Macaca fascicularis: one gene and its partner. The protein of the gene in region 2 interacts with the protein of the main gene of each other region in a pairwise test. Links are inferred from orthologs where the notes say so. Each region holds a gene or a part of one and is shown on either strand. Other genes may lie near its edges.

Region 1 (7,705 bases), on a different chromosome or scaffold from region 2:
TTCAATTTAGACAGTATTCACACAGCTTTTCAGGAACCAGAACTTTCTAAGAGCTAAGAGGGAATGATGAATAAGCTCGGCCCCTTAATTCTGCAAGTGAGGAAACTGAGGCTCAGAAGACCATATGAACTCTCAAAGCTGCATGATAACAGCTAGCACTTATCAGGGGCCCAGGGCTTCTCACAGCTTCACCACTTCCACCATGTCAAGGCCACCATCACATCTTGTTTGGAATGCTATAGGAATCTCCTAAGTCCCATTTTTACCCTCCCTCCTACCATCCACCCTCTCTCCAAAGGCCACTCCATACAGCAGCATGTGGATGCATCTACAGTAGAAGGCAAACTATGTCCCTCCTTTGCTCAGAAACTTTTAATGTCTTCCTATTTCCCCATGTAAAAGCCAATCCTCAACCACAGTGTAGAAGGGCTATCCATTTCTAGCTACATATCTCCTCAGTCACTGCCCCCAGCCCCAGTACTTGGAGACTTTTCCCTTGCAGTTCCCTCTGCCAGCAAACTCTTCCTCCAGATGTCCACATGACTCACCCCTCTCCTTCAGGGGTCTTCTCAAATGTCACTTTACCACAGGTGGCTTCCCTGACCATCCTGTATAAATAGCATCACCCCATCTCCTGTCTCTCTCTCTACTGGCTTTTAAGTTATTTTTATTATTATTGAGACAGGTTCTCACTCTGTCACCCACGCTGCAGTACAGTGGTGAAATCACGGCTCACTGAAGCCTTGACCTTCTGGCTTCAAGCGATCCTCCCACCTCAGCCTCCCAAGTAGTTGGGACTACAGGCGCACAACACCACACCCAGCTATTTTTTTTATTTTTGTAAAGACAGAGTCTCTCTGTGTTGCCCAGGCTGGTCTCAAACTCTTGGCCTCAAGTGATCCTCTTGCCTCAGCCTCCCATATTGCTGGGATTATAGGCATGAGCCACCACACCTCACCTTATTATTTTTTCCTAACGCTTTTATCACCCAACATATTTTGTTTACTGACTTCCTTTGCCCACTAGAATGTAAGCTCAGCAAAAAAAAGTCACCTGCCGGATCCCCAGTGCCTGGTATATGGCAAGCACTCGGTATTTTTGTATAATAAGTGCTCACTATGTGCCCAATACTGTTTTAAGGAAAGCATTTACTTAATCCTCCCAATAACCTGAGATAGGCATTATTATCATCACCATCATCTCTGAGTATAACAGATGAAGAAACTAAGGCACAAAGAAGTTTAGTAATTTTTCCAAGATCACATAACTAGAGAATAGTAGAGCCAGAATTTGAACCCAGGACACCGACTCTTTAACTCCATCACATATTGTATCACCCTTATTGTGTCACTCAGTTAATGACAAAGAACTGCTGCACTTTAATGCTTCTTCTCTATACCAGACTCTCAGAAATTGATACATACTAAAGTGTGCTTTCAAATGTCAATAATTTCCTATAAGTGCCTAATATTTTAAAATATAATAAAGTGTGATTTTGAGCTAAGACTGGTAAACAAAGTGTGCTGCAGCCACAAGCGTGCTGCGCTTCAGCCTCTAGTTCGAGAACCACTTCCAGAGGATATGACTGAGGCTTACAGGCGTGTGTAGGTAATTCTCCCTGCTCACCTGAGATTACCATGATTAGCTCTGGTCCATAAAGGGAAAACTAAGACACAAAAGCCGCAGAGATGTTCTAGGCCACACAGCCAATTGCAGTGACTAGAAAGAAGCCCGGCGGCGAAGGTAAGCTGAGATGGCGAAGGTGAGCTGAGATCGCGCCACTGCACCCCAGCCTGGGCGACAGAGGGAGACTCCGTCTCAATTTAAAAAAAAAAGGAGCCTCTGAGGGGCCCTCTGGGACTGCAGTAGGTCACACATGCTCCCTGCTTATTAGTGTAGAACGCCCCGGTGATTCATGCAACGGAATGTTTCAGCCAAGGATGTCACCTAATAGAGGATATGTTGATACAGCTTTATCTGAGAAGTTACATAATCATCCTAGTGTGGAAATGCCATAAAGGAATTTCTGGCTTGAATAAAAGAGGTGTGTATCCCCTGGGAAGTACTCCATGAAGGGTATGAGGAGATTTTCAGTGAGAAGCTTACTACCCTAGACTGGGCAAGTGACTTGTTAAAAACAGGGCTCAATGGAGGCTCCCTGAGGACAGTGACTGTGCCCAGTTTGATTTGGTAAGGCTTAGACTCCTGTCCGAGAGAGTCCAGGGAAGCCCAGACCTGCCTGTCCTTCCACAGGGAAGAGAGACCTTTCTGTTTCTAGCCTCCTGGGATAGAAAGGTCCCTACCTTGAGTCCTCTCTGCTTCGTTCTTTCAGGTCACACATTTATTTCTGCAAGCCTTCAGACCTTCCATTCTCTTTCTGCCCTAGAGAGCAGAATGAATCCTTCCCCCGATTTTGTTGGAATTCTCTGAAAGAAATCCTGCCGAGTCTCCCACTCTGGAATACCACCCCCAGCACCCAGTCTTCCCTCGACCTCGCCTCCCACCGCCCCACCAGCCCCCAGGACGTGGCAGGAGGAGGAAGGAGGCTGGAGGGAGTGGCGCCGGTGGCACGAGCACCTGTCACCTGACCTGCTCGGGCCCTTACTTCTCCAGCCCCGGCCCTGCCCACCCTCTGGCCGGTGTGCGCCGACAGGGTCCCCGCCCTCCCGGACCGGGACAGGCCCGTCCCTCCCGCCCCGGCCTCCGCCACCGTCCAATGGCCGAGGGGCAGGGCCCGCTGAGCAAGCCGCGGCAGCCCCGCCGGGTCCCCGCCCTGTTCCCGGTTCCCAAGCCGGGCCCCGGAGGCCTTTAAATGCTGCCCAGAGCCGACGCGGCACGGCCCTTGCCACCTTTCTTGGTCGGGCAGCGGCAGCGGTAGCAAGCAGCAGCGTCGGTCCAGGTCCGGGGCCGTTCCGGGCCGCGGCGAGCACCTTGGCCCTCGCGTCCCGCGCTGCCTCCCTCCCCTCCCCTCCTCCCAGGCCCTGCCTGCCAGGTCGGCGCCGGGCCCCGGGCGTGCGCGCGCGCGCCCCCTCGTGTGTGCGCGCGCCCGCGCCAGCTCGGACCCGCGCCCCCGCCCCCGCCCCGCGCAGGACAGCCCCGGGATCCCCGCCCGCGCGCTGCGTCCCACGTACCCCGCCGCGCCGGGCAAGAAGATGGCGGGATCGGTGGCCGACAGCGATGCCGTGGTGGTGAGTGTGGCAGGGCGCGCGCGAGGCGCCCCTCCCCGCCGCCCCGCACTCCGCTGCCGCCTGCTCCAGCAGTGCTGGGGTGCTGAGAAGCCGCAGGCCTGGCCGGCGCCCCCCGCGTGGGAAGGCGCCGGGTACCTGTTAGCAGCCGCCGGCTGCGCGCGGCCGGTGTTGGGGGCTGGAGAGGCTCCCGGGCTGCGGGGCTCTGGGCTGGGGAGGGAGTTTGGGGAGGATGGCGGGGTGGGGGCGCCCGACAGCCCGATCTGTGCCGTGCAACCGCCAGCCAGGTGTGCGCGTGGGTGAGTGTGTCCGGGGCGCGCGCCCTGCCACCGCCCCCGACGTCCCGGGGAATTCCCCCTTGGAAATGGGTCGGCGCCCGGGGCTCCCGAGAGAAGTTGAGCACGGCCGCTCCACTTCAGCCACGTCCCGGAGGACAGGCCTGGCCCACCGCGCTTCCAGAAGCGTTTGCGGTTGAAGAGGGGCCTGCCCTCCTCCGGCGTGGGGCTCTGGCTCCTCGGTGGACCTCGACCTTGATTTTGATCTGGATCTGAAGGGTCTGCGGATCTTCAGAAGCTTAACCACCGGGTGGAAAGGATGGGTTTTTTTCGGGGGTTATGAGATTATCTAAGAGACAGTGAAGAGGCATCATCGGCAGACACTGTGTGCGTGTGGAAGACTGCTGGATTCCACCACATCTGTGTGGGTTCTTCCTCCAGCCCCCCAAAAAAGAGCCCATGGAAAGCCAATCTGTGTGCTTCTATTTTTAGAAACTAGATGATGGCCATTTAAACAACTCTTTGGGCTCTCCAGTTCAAGCGGACGTGTACTTCCCACGACTGGTAAATGGCTTTGCTCTGTGTTCTGTGTCTCTGCCTGTACCCTCCTCCTTTCTCATTGCTTTTTAAAATTTTATTCGTTTGTTTATTGCATTTTCCAATGGGTCAGGCCTTCAGGATCTGAGGTCTTGGCTCTTCCCTAACAGGCTGTGAAACTCATTTTTCTTCTCCCACCCTTTGCAGATAGTTCCATTTTGTGGGCACATTAAAGGTGGCATGAGACCAGGCAAGAAGGTGTTAGTGATGGGCATCGTAGACCTCAACCCAGAGAGGTAAGGCAGAGTCTTTACAGAACTATCAGGCTGTGGCTGAGCCCTGCCCACTCCTGTTGTGGTTTAGCACTCCTCCTCTTCCTCTCCTTGTGCACAATGTTGCTAGTTGCCAGTGCCAAGAAAGTACCATGTTCCCATGAAAAGAATGTGTATGAATCCCAGCCATCATTTCTCCAGACAGCTATTTATATCAGAGATTATAAATATAGGCCCACATTTTCTCTTTGACCCTTAGGGAGGCCAAAGGATTTTTTTTTTTTTTTTTTTTTTTTTATTTATGGTTTTGAAACATGGTGCCAGAAGCAAGAACTATCAAGATGAATAAGAACCCAACTTAACATTATTTCCCGTGGTCAATTTCTGTGGCTGTTTTTGAGAATTCCGAAGTGGATTAAGACATAGATGTGTGGTCGCTTTGGGGTATTTGAAATCGCTAATTTTAGTCATTTTCACCTCCACCAAAGTTTTCGCCAGAGCTTGCTTTAGGTAACAAAATAAACTGGTTTGACTTACTTCTCCATAATCTAACCTCTCTTGAAGAGTAGTGGCCTCTTAAAAACGGGCAAACCCAGAGGAGGAACAGGAAATATAAGCACCTGGGTCATTTTGAAATGTTTTTATATCCAACCCTGAATCAATGAGATGATTTTCTTTTCAGCTTTGCAATCAGCTTGACCTGTGGGGACTCTGAAGACCCTCCTGCCGATGTGGCAATTGAACTCAAAGCTGTGTTCACAGATCGGCAGCTACTCAGAAATTCTTGTATATCTGGGGAGAGGGGTGAAGAACAGTCAGCAATCCCTTACTTCCCATTCATTCCAGACCAGCCATTCAGGGTGAGTACCTCGAGTGCCTCGGCTCCAGCCACTGGCAGGGTGATAATGTTCGACTTACCTAGTGTGTGCCAAGAACACTTGAAGCGGCCAGAATTTTTGCATGTCCAGGAAATTTGTCACCCAATGGTGAAAAAAAGATCAAAAGAGCTCTGTTTGCTGATGTAAATTAACACTTGCCATAGTAACTGTTAGTTCTATTCAGCTCACACATTTAAATAGACCCATATTTACGTGACCAAATTGTTAAGAATAAGTAACTTTTCTATGTAGTACCCAACATATAGTAGATACCTACCCCCAAATATCTGATTGATTAATCAATACTAATAAGTACCCACTTATTAAATATTAATAAATATTAATAAGGTTGAGAGCTACTTATTAGCTCTCAGCCTTATTTGTATGACATTTTAAAGAATATGATGATGATCATTTCATTTTCTCTTGTTCCCTTTGCTAATGAGGCCATGTTTGTGTCCTTGTTTCCCGCTCTGGATTAATTAACCGCAGTCTATTTCACGGTTACAGACTGGCTGACAAATTCCTTCCCTTGGGACTGGATGAATAAAGATTTGCTCCCCACTATCTTTTGGGCAGGAAGCACAATCCAAACTTTTCATTCAGTCAAGCAACATTAGCAGCACCTTCCTCTATGAAAGGCAATGCCAAATAAGAGATGCAAGTAGTGGCACATTGGCTTGTGCCTGTAATCCCACCACTTTGGGAGGCTGAGGCAAGAGGATTGCTTGAGCAAAGGAGTTCAAAACCAGCCTAGGAAACATAGCAAAAACCCTGCCTCTTTAAAAAAAAAAAAAGATTAGCCTGGTGTAGTGTCACACACCTGTAGTCCTAGCTATTTGGGAGGCTGAGACGGGAGGATCGCTTGAGCCCAGACATTCAAGGCTACAGTGAGCTATGGTTGTATCACTGCACTCCAACCTGGGTGACAGAGCAAGGTTCTGTCAAAAAAAAAAAAAAAAAAGGAAATGCAAGTAGTAATGGTGTTGAAAAGGGGTCAGACCTAGTGATGAATTGTCATTACACTTTCACATTACATCACAATAATGACAACTCAGTTAAAAGCTCCATGTTACATATGAGCCCAATAAAACAGAACTACACTTAACTGGTTACCCTTCATCTAGAAATTTTCAAGTGCCTCATGAAGAAGTAATTATTTCACTTCCCTTCTTACATTCTGAGGGGAAAATAAGAATCCATGATTTTTGCATCAGTGGTAGCATTGAGATAGTTGCCCTTCTAGTTATAGTCTCTGGAAAGCACCCTTGACCCATTCTCTCTCCTCACCCCCTTCTCTAGAATGGTGATGTCCCCTTGGGCTCCTCTTGGTGAGGATAGTTTCTCAGTGATGAACCTTAATGCATAGCTCATGAATGTGAATAACCACAGCTTCTGACTGCCAGGAGGAATATAATGCTCCCAACAACAAAACTGAAGTGAAATAGGCCTTTCTTGGTGATAAAATTTTAGTAATATGAATTAAATGTGACTAATAGCACATATGGAGCCTCCTTACATGGTGAATGCCAATGCTTTTAATAAACCCATCATAGCACACTACCAGTAATTAAACTTTATGGTAAATTACTTGAGGAAAAAGCTTTTACCTTATGGAACCGGTATTTCTGTTTGACTCAACAAAACCTTGTTAATTACATGTTCTTTGTCCAGTGGTAATTACTATGTGTAACCTTCTCTCTGCCTTAGTGCTTAGCATATTTTGAGTGTCTAGACTATTATGGTCTTCTACTAATGGATGCCAGTTCTGCCTTGTGAGGGGCCCTTCTGAAGGTGGAATAGAATAGTTCAGGGGATGACAGTGGAGGCATTAAGTGCCATATAAACAAGTCTATGCTACTTTACATCACTTTCTGGAGTATAGGCAGAAGGGAGATATGTTAAAGGAATGCAGTTTTAAATCTTTAAAAGGTATTATATTGAATAGTGTAGAGCAATGGTTCTCAAAGTGGGTTCTCTATTCTAGCAATATCAGCATTACCTTGGAACTTGGTAGAAACACACATTCTTAACACCTACTGAATCAGAAATTTTGGAGGTAGAGCCCAACAATCTGTGTTCTAACAAGCCCTCTGCAGGTTTCAATGCATTCTAATGTTTGTGAACCACTGAAGATACTGCCTTTTTTTCTCTAAAATGAAGTATTATTTGTTTTCCCCAGTAGGGTTCATTGAAATTGTGGACTATTATTTTGTTTCTTCCAGGTGGAAATTCTTTGTGAGCACCCACGTTTCCGAGTGTTTGTGGATGGACACCAACTTTTTGATTTTTACCATCGCATTCAAACGTTATCTGCAATTGACACCATAAAGATAAACGGAGACCTCCAGATCACCAAGCTTGGCTGATTTAAACCACCTCTATTTCAAATAGGATCACATGCCACAACTGTCTTGACTGTTGGTCTGGAAGAAGTGTCCTAGCAAGATCTGGACACTTAAAAAGAAAACAAAAACAAATGGCAAGCTTCACTGTCTCTTCTTTTGTACAGTTTAAACCCAAAATGACAACTTCAACCGTGGTTTGCCCTTAAGAAG
Region 2 (7,910 bases):
CTCTGGTGGCCCAAGCCCACGCTTCCTTTCTTACTATGTTACCGTGTCTCGATTCCCAGCTGCCGCTGTTTGGGCATTCCTAAGACTGCCCTTCAAACTCAGCAGCCTTCCTGGTCTCACTTCTGTGTCTGCAGTCAAACCTGAGCCTCTCGAGAAGGGTGGGCACCCCACCTGCAGGGGGCATGACCGGCAGGGACCAGGAGTCCCAGACACACCTGATCCGTGTGCCACCTCTGCCTGGAGCTAACTACAACTGAAAGACAGCAACTGAAAGCTTGCCCTTACATTAAATCAACACAGATGTGTGATAAACCAGACAGCACACATTCCCCGGCCTGCCATGGACTCCAGGCCCTCTCTGCCATGCTGGGGGCTCAGCAGGAGAGAAAGAACCACAACAAAGTCCAGAAACGGGATGTGACAGGGGCCAGGGACCAAGGCTGGGCTCACCGACATCACTCTGCTCGCCACCTCGCTCTGACTACCGCACCCCATCACTGATCCCCTCACCGAAAGGCCCTTAACAGTGAGCACTGGGGGCCTCTCAGGTCCAAGACAGACTAGAATCCCAAAGCTTTGACAGATAGGCCAAGAGGTCCCAGACATTTGCATCAAGGAAATTACAGCATTTCAGACCAGAGTTGCCAACTCTGTCATCCAGGCTGGAGGGCAGTGGCGTGATCTCAGCTCACTGCAACCTCTGCCTCCTGGGTTCAAGCGATTCTCCTGCCTCAGCCTCCCGAGTAGGTGAGATGACAGGTGTACGCACCCGCCTAATTTTTGTATTTTTAGTAGAGATGGGGTTTCACCAAGTTGGTCAGGCTGGTCTCAAATTCCTGACCTCAAGTGAACCACCCACCTCAGGCTCCCAAAGTGCTGGGATTCTAGGCGTGAGCCGCCGCAACCAGTTCAGAGTTGGCAACTTCTAATTTTGCCAGTGATAAAAACAACAACCATCTATTACCTTCATAATTTCATAAAAGAGCATTTACATATACATATCACATATATACATACACACACATATACACGTGACCTAATCTCAGAATACAAAACTGTCCTCATGAAGAAACGGCAGTAAGCAAGCTAGCAGCCAGCATTCTTTTTTTTTTTTCTTTTTTGAGACGGGGTCTCGCTCTGTCGCCCAGGCTGGAGTGCAGTGGCGCGATCTCGGCTCACTGTAAGCTCCGCCTCCCGGGTTCACACCATTCTCCTGCCTCAGCCTCCCGAGCAGCTGGGACTACAGGTGCCACGCCCAGTTAATTTTTTGTATTTTTAGTAGAGACAGGGTTTCACCATGTTAGCCAGGATGGTCTCGATCTCCTGACCTCGTGATCCGCCCATCTCGGCCTCCCAAACTGCTGGGATTACAGGCGTGAGCCACCACATCCAGCCACAAGCTAGCATTCTAATAAACACATATTAATTCAATTATGCAACAAAACAAATGCACACACACACAGCTTTACCAAATGCAGCAGGGCCTCATCTGGGCTCTGAGAGCACAGGAAGCCAGAGCCTCCTCTAATGGGCACAGGACTACAGAATGGCTCTGGGGCCTGCAGCAGGGACTGGGAAAGAGGGTCCAGGCAGAGGGGTCTAGAGGAGCCTGTGCAGCCACAGGGCCCAGGCAAGGCTGGAGACACTACTTGCCAGCACTCCCCAGCACTCCACTCCCCACCACTCGGGGGCCCCGTTATCCCAGCCCCACGTGGGGCTGGGCCCATCACTCTTTGGATCCTGAAGTCCTTCAGGAGACCTGAGTCCTCTGCAGTTGTGTCTACAGTGAGCAATCCCCCAAGAACTAGTAACGAAACCAAATACAACTATTTTATAGAAGAAATCCGTAAAAATCACCCCAAAATCTGAAAATGGCCCTCTACAGCCTGAGACCACAAAACATCCCGTCCTTCTGCTCACGGCTGTGGCTTTGTCTCTGGGCTGCCGGGCACTCCCGCACTGTGTTTCCGACACAGCCTGCCCGACGGTCCTGCTGCTCACACTCCCAGGCAGTTTGGGTTCTGTCCTCAATTAGATGAACGAACTGGCTTTCCGATCCTGTCACCAGGGTCTGTGGGTGCACTTGTGTGAATGCAATGCTGAGCGCCAGGCCCACTCAGGGTGCTAACAAGGCAGGCCTTCGAGCCAGGATGGCTCAGGGCCCCAACTAGCCTCCAGCTACTGCCCCAAAACGAGAAGTGGCCACAGTGAGGCCTGGAAGATGAGCAGCTGGTCTCTAGGCTGAGCTAATACTGACCCACCTCAACTACAGAACACTTGAACAGGCCCTGCCTGGGCCCAGGGGTCTCCCCAGAGAAGACTCCCACCCAGGCACATGCCACTCACCTGCATGCTCTGCTGGTACTGCATCTGCAGAGAACCTGGGGCCGAGGTGGAAATATCCAGTCCAGATCCTCCCTCCACCCGCTGAGAGATGAAGTTGTTCAAAGATCTCAGGGTGGATAAAACCGTGGTGTTTTCCCCCAGGTCTTCCATGGTTGCTTTCCTTCTGGGAACAGACAAAGGACTGGTCAGGGCCAGCCTTTCTACGTGCCATCAGCTGTGCAGTCAGCGGGGCCTCTGGACATCCCCACTCCCCTAACGCTCATTGGAGCCCATAATACACCAGTGTCTGTAACCACATTCTTCAAAGGCAACTGGGAGCCATGCTGCCAATTTACCAGACAAAAAATGGAAGCAAGAAAGCATGCCACCAAATCCCCGCCACTGAGCCACCGACTGAGTCTCAGCTGCACACAGACAGCTGGCGCCCAAGAGGCGGAGCTCAGCACTCAGGTGGCACGTCCTCCCACAGCACTGTAAGAGGGTTCTCCAGAGAGACAGAGCCAACAGGACAGAGACAGACACACGAGAGGGGCATTATTAGGGAAACGGACTCACACGATTAGGGAGACTGTCCCACAACAGGCCGTCTGTAAGCTGGAGCCCTAGAAGCCTGGCAGTGTGACACAGTCCAAGTCTGAAGGCCTCAGAGCCAGGGGGGCCGATGGTGTAATTCTCAGTTCGAGGAACTGCTGGAACGAGTCCTGGAGACCAAAGGCCGGTGAGCTTGGAGTGCTGCTGTTGAGGAGAGGAGAAGAAGGGTGTATCCCAGCTCCCGCAGGCAGATGGACACATTCGTCTTTTCTGTTTTTGTCCTCTCCAGGCCCCAGGCTCTTGGATGGTGCCCCCAACACTGGGGGGTGGATCTTCAGCACCTGGTCCACTCAGACTCCCAAGCTCATCACCTCTGGAAACACCCTCACAGGCACACCCAGAAACAAAAATGATGCTTTCCCAGGTTTCTAGAAATTCCTGAATCCAGTCAGCTGATGCCTGAAACTAACTACCAGGAGCACTCACAAAAAAGTCTGGCCTCCTGCCCAGGTGGGATGGCTCACGCCTGTAATCCCAGCACTTTGGGAGGTGGAGGCAGGCAGATCACTTGAGGTCAGGAGTTCAAGACCAGATTGGCCAACATGGCAAAATCCCATCTCTAATAAAATACAAACACTAGCCGGGTGTGGTGGTGCGCGCCTGTAATCCCAGCTATTCAGGAGGCTGTGGCACAAGAAACGCTTGAACCTGGGAGGTGGAAGTTGCAGTGAGCTGAGACCGCACTACTGCACTCCAGATTGGGTAACAGAGTAAGACTGTGCCTCAAAATAAATAAATATTAATTAATTAATTAAGGCCAGGCACTGTGGCTCATGCCTGTAATCCCAGCACTTTGCAAGGCCAAGACGGGCAGATGACCTGAGGTCAGGAGTTCGAGACCAGCCTGGCCAACATGGTGAAACCCTGTCTCTATTAAAGCCGGATATGGTATGCACCTGTAATCCCAGCTACTCCGGAGGCTGGGACAGGAGAATTGCTTGAACCTAGGAGGCAGAGGTTGCATGCAGTGAGCTGAGATCGCACCACTGCACTCCAGCCTGGACAACAGAGCAAGACACCGTTTCAAAAAATAATAATAATTAATTTTTTAAAAAGTCTGGCCTCTGGGAATCAGAAATGAGGCATGCAACAGTGACAGTAAAGATGATCATCACAGCTGTGCTAATTTTCATTGTTTATTTCTAGTGACATTAATAAGTACTACTACTATTTTCAACTAGGTACTGGAAAGAAAGGTATCTGACATTTCCGAGCACGGAGACTTCTTGAACTTCAGCTTCCTCATCTGTCAACTCATGACAGTGAAATCTACTTGCAAAGTTGTGGGGAATGGGGTCAATATCCCTCAAGTCTTCCACTGCTAGATAATGGGAATGCAGCCGCAGGTTGACCAGCACTACATTTGTAAGCTCAATCTTAACAGGGTGGTGAATCAGGTCTTTTTACACAGATTCTAGAGATGATGAAACTGAAGCTTCAAAAAGTTACAGAACGGAGATTGGGAACTTGGGTCTGTCTGGCGTTGGAAGGCTGAAGACAAGCAGCAGCAAAGAACTTTGCACCCCTAACACCTGCGCTGACGATGGTCTCACGGCAGGCCGGCCCACCAGCCCTAACAAGGGGAACAGCCAAGCGCGTTTAACAACCAAAGGTAGAACTCCTGCAGCTGCACAGTTTCTGAGTTTCCATTGAACAAGAACCTCGGCCTGCTGCAAGCAGAGCCCTGAGCTCCCCAGGCTGCGAGCCCCGCAGAGGCAGGCCCGCCTGCAGGGAGGCTCCACAGCCCAATTCCTCCATTGCCCAGAAGAGACCAGGGCGACCCCTGCCATCCCCGAGGGGAAACCGGGCCCACACGCCCCCTTCCTGAGAGCGGGCCCGCGCGAGCCACGAGGATGCCAAGAGCCCCTGCAGCCCCGACTTCTCCACCAGGCGCCAGCTCAGGCCCCTTCCTCGGCGCGCCGGCACCCTAGCCCGGAGACCCCCACGGCGGGCACGGGGACCCCCACGGGGGGCACCCGGACCCCGGGGCTGGGGCCACGAGCACGCGCCCCTCGGCCGCCCGCCCTGGCACAAGGGACGGCTGCGGAAACCCAGGCGAGGGGCCCGCTGTACCCAGCACAGCCCGAAGTGGGGCGTGGGGACAGCGGAGTGGGGACAGGGGAGTGGGAAGAGGAGGAGAGAGGAGGGGAGAGCACAGAGAGGGGAGCGCGCCCATGGGAGGCGGGGCGGGCGCGCGGTCCTGAGGCACGGGGTCCAGGGTCCTTGTGCCCCACCCTGGCGGGCACACCCGGTCCGGGCCCTCGGCCCCGCCCTTGCCACCCCCGGGGCCCCAGGACCCCAGAACCCCGCCGCCCGCGAAGGCCGGGCCGCTCACCTCAGTCTCCCGCAGCCCACTTGCCGCCGCCGCTCGGATCTCCCTCCGCTCCGCCCGCGCCCACTTATCGCGACACTTGCGCCTGCGCTCTCGCGAGACCTGGGTGGGAACCGGGCCGTAAAGAACCGAGTCTTCGCACCAGCTGGTCCTGGGGCCTCCGTGCCCGCACCCAGAGCCGCCACCCCCGGGAGACTACACACGGAAAGGACTCGGAACCGAAGGCCGGGCCAAGGCGCAGTCGGGGTCCCCGACCCCGCGCAGGACGCGCTTCCACTAAGGCTTTCGCCTCGCGCCGTAATGTGTGGAATAGCCGCGCCCATAGCAGCCTCCTGCAACAAACTTGCATTGTTGACTCTTCCCAAAATTTTGCTACTCAGTATCAGCTTGAATCAATCCGTTATTTTGCTTTTATCTGGGCCCACTAGAAATGCAATTTATGCTACTAGGCTACCTCCTAATGCTCTGCAAGCCAAGGCACAAAATCCAACGGGGTGAGGTCAGGCCCCACTATTATTACGGTAACCTTCGTCTATCCTTCAATTTGGAGCCTTCCTGAGAAGAGTGTGCCTCCTCTCTTCTTCCCACCTCTGCCCAGTCCCTGGCTTCCCTCTAAGAAGATGCTGTTCCTAAGGGTCTACATTGAATTTTTCTTCTTCCAGAGAAAAAGACTTCCAAGTTGTGTGCCCCGGAAATGAAAGGGAATGAGAACGAGGTGGAGTAGGGCAAGAGAGTCCCTGGACTTAACTACCTGACTGCAACCAGAAATAAAATGAAAGGCCAAAACATCTGGCGGCCGGGCGCCGTGCCTCACGCCTGTAATCCCAGCACTTTGGCAGGCCGAGGCGGGTGGATCACGAGGTCAGGAGATCAAGACCTTGACTAACACGGTGAAACCCCGTCTCTACTAAAAATACAAAAAAAAAAAAATTAGCCGGGCTTGGTGGTGGGTGCCTGTAGTCCCATGTACTCAGGAGACTGAGGCAGAATGGCGTGAACCCCGGGAGGTGGAGCTTACAGTGAGCCGTTTCAAGGCACTCCAGCCTGGGCGACAGAGCGAGACTCCGTTTCAAAAAAAAAACAAGTCAAAACATCTGACCTGCAGTTTCCTTTGGGGAGCTGGACCAAGCCCCAGATCCCTGATGGCGATTCCTGGGTTTCCAGACTTACCGCACTGGTGCTTGGAATTGAATCATAGTTACAGTCAACACACTTCTTGAGGGATGAGTACACCTCCAGGAAATGGCTTTGAGGAAGCCAGTTTTAAAAAAACAAAACTTAAAAGCATGAAAGTCCCTTACAATAATGCAACTTCTATTTTATTAAATACAAAGCTGCGGCCGGGCGCGGTGGCTCACGCCTGTAATCCCAGCACTTTGGGAGGCCGAGACGGGCGGATCACGAGGTCAGGAGATCGAGACCATCCTGGCTGACACTGTGAAACCCCGTCTCTACTAAAAACTACAAAAAACTAGCCGGGCGAGGTGGCAGGCGCCTGTAGTCCCAGCTACTCGGGAGGCTGAGGCAGGAGAATGGCGTGAACCCGGGAGGCGGAGCTTGCAGTGAGCTGAGATCCGGCCACTGCACTCCAGCCTGGGTGGCAGAGCGAGACTCCGTCTCTAAATAAATAAATAAATAAATAAATAAATAAATAAATAAATATAAAGCTGCATCGAGTTCCTAGAAGAGTAAAAGAAAATAAACACACCACATCACTGCTTGCTTTGGCAATTACCTTTATGTTCTTGGGAGTCCAGACACAGATACAAATTTCCAGCGAAAACCAAAGCACACCCAGTGCATGAGTAAATTCAGACCATACGTCTTCCCTAATCGCTCTGGGAACTTCTGCTGCTTGAAGAATGCATGAATCTCTAGATTACTCACCAGAAAGAAAGAATTTAATCCCCAGATGGAAATTTCAGATTTTTCTTTTGGTTTGGTTTTTTGTTTTTTCATTTTTGTAGAGACAGTGGGTGTTGCTATGTTGCCCAGGTTGGTCTTGAACTTCTGACTTCAAGAATCCCCCAGCCTCAGCCTTCTGGGATTATAGGTGTGAGTGGCCTCACCCAGCCCCCAGATTTTCTACTTTAAATAGCCACACTAAGAACTGGAAACCTGTGCATGGTGCTCTGGGAGGAGCAGTGGAAAGCCTGTTTCTGTGTGACAGTTTAACAGTCTGTAAGATGAAGTCCCGTCAAGGCACACATGGGCACACCCATCCCTGCCTCAGCGGATTCCTTCTGATTCTTCCCACAGTCTGTCTCTCTTCATCCTTCCATCCTCACCTCTTTCTCTTGATAACTTTCTCCTCACAAATCAATATAGAGGACTTTTTCATTTTCCATGGCCCCTGAACTTAGTTTTGTCATCTCTTTTTGGTTAAAAAGAGAGAGAGAAAGAAAGAGACTCCCAGCCGGGCGCGCTGGCTCACGCCTGTAATCCCAGCACTTTGGGAGGCCGAGATGGGCGGATCACGAGGTCAGGAGATCGAGACCATCCTGACTAACACGGTGAAACCCCAAATACTAAAAATACAAAAATTAGCCGGGCGCGGTGGCAGGCGCCTGTAGTCCCAGCCACACGGGAGGCTGAGGCAGGAGAATGGCGTGAACCTGGGAGGCGGAGCTTGCAGTGAGTG

What was found.
Region 1: the proteins of MAD1L1 (region 2) and LGALSL interact in binary tests that used the Homo sapiens proteins (3 or more experiments, as listed by UniProt). The two-hybrid records come from large-scale screens. The link is inferred for Macaca fascicularis from reciprocal best matches to the Homo sapiens genes MAD1L1 and LGALSL.

What each region holds. Positions count from the first base shown.
Region 1 is NC_088387.1:57,467,283-57,474,987, reverse strand, and holds the start of LGALSL (galectin-related protein), read left to right. Parts: upstream 1-2,837; 5' UTR 2,838-3,131; coding exon of another isoform or gene 3,132-3,152; coding exon 3,153-3,188; coding exon of another isoform or gene 3,189-3,598; intron 3,599-3,952; coding exon 3,953-4,024; intron 4,025-4,204; coding exon 4,205-4,293; intron 4,294-4,951; coding exon 4,952-5,129; intron 5,130-7,372; coding exon 7,373-7,516; 3' UTR 7,517-7,705. Other genes in the region: uncharacterized protein, read right to left, coding at 3,132-3,598, 7,398-7,444. UniProt on the Homo sapiens protein: Does not bind lactose, and may not bind carbohydrates.
Region 2 is NC_088377.1:35,703,694-35,711,603, forward strand, and holds the start of MAD1L1 (mitotic spindle assembly checkpoint protein MAD1), read right to left. Parts: upstream 5,347-7,910; 5' UTR 5,273-5,346; intron 3,082-5,272; exon of another isoform or gene 3,079-3,081; 5' UTR 2,902-3,078; intron 2,510-2,901; exon of another isoform or gene 2,507-2,509; 5' UTR 2,497-2,506; coding exon 2,347-2,496; intron 1-2,346. UniProt on the Homo sapiens protein: Component of the spindle-assembly checkpoint that prevents the onset of anaphase until all chromosomes are properly aligned at the metaphase plate.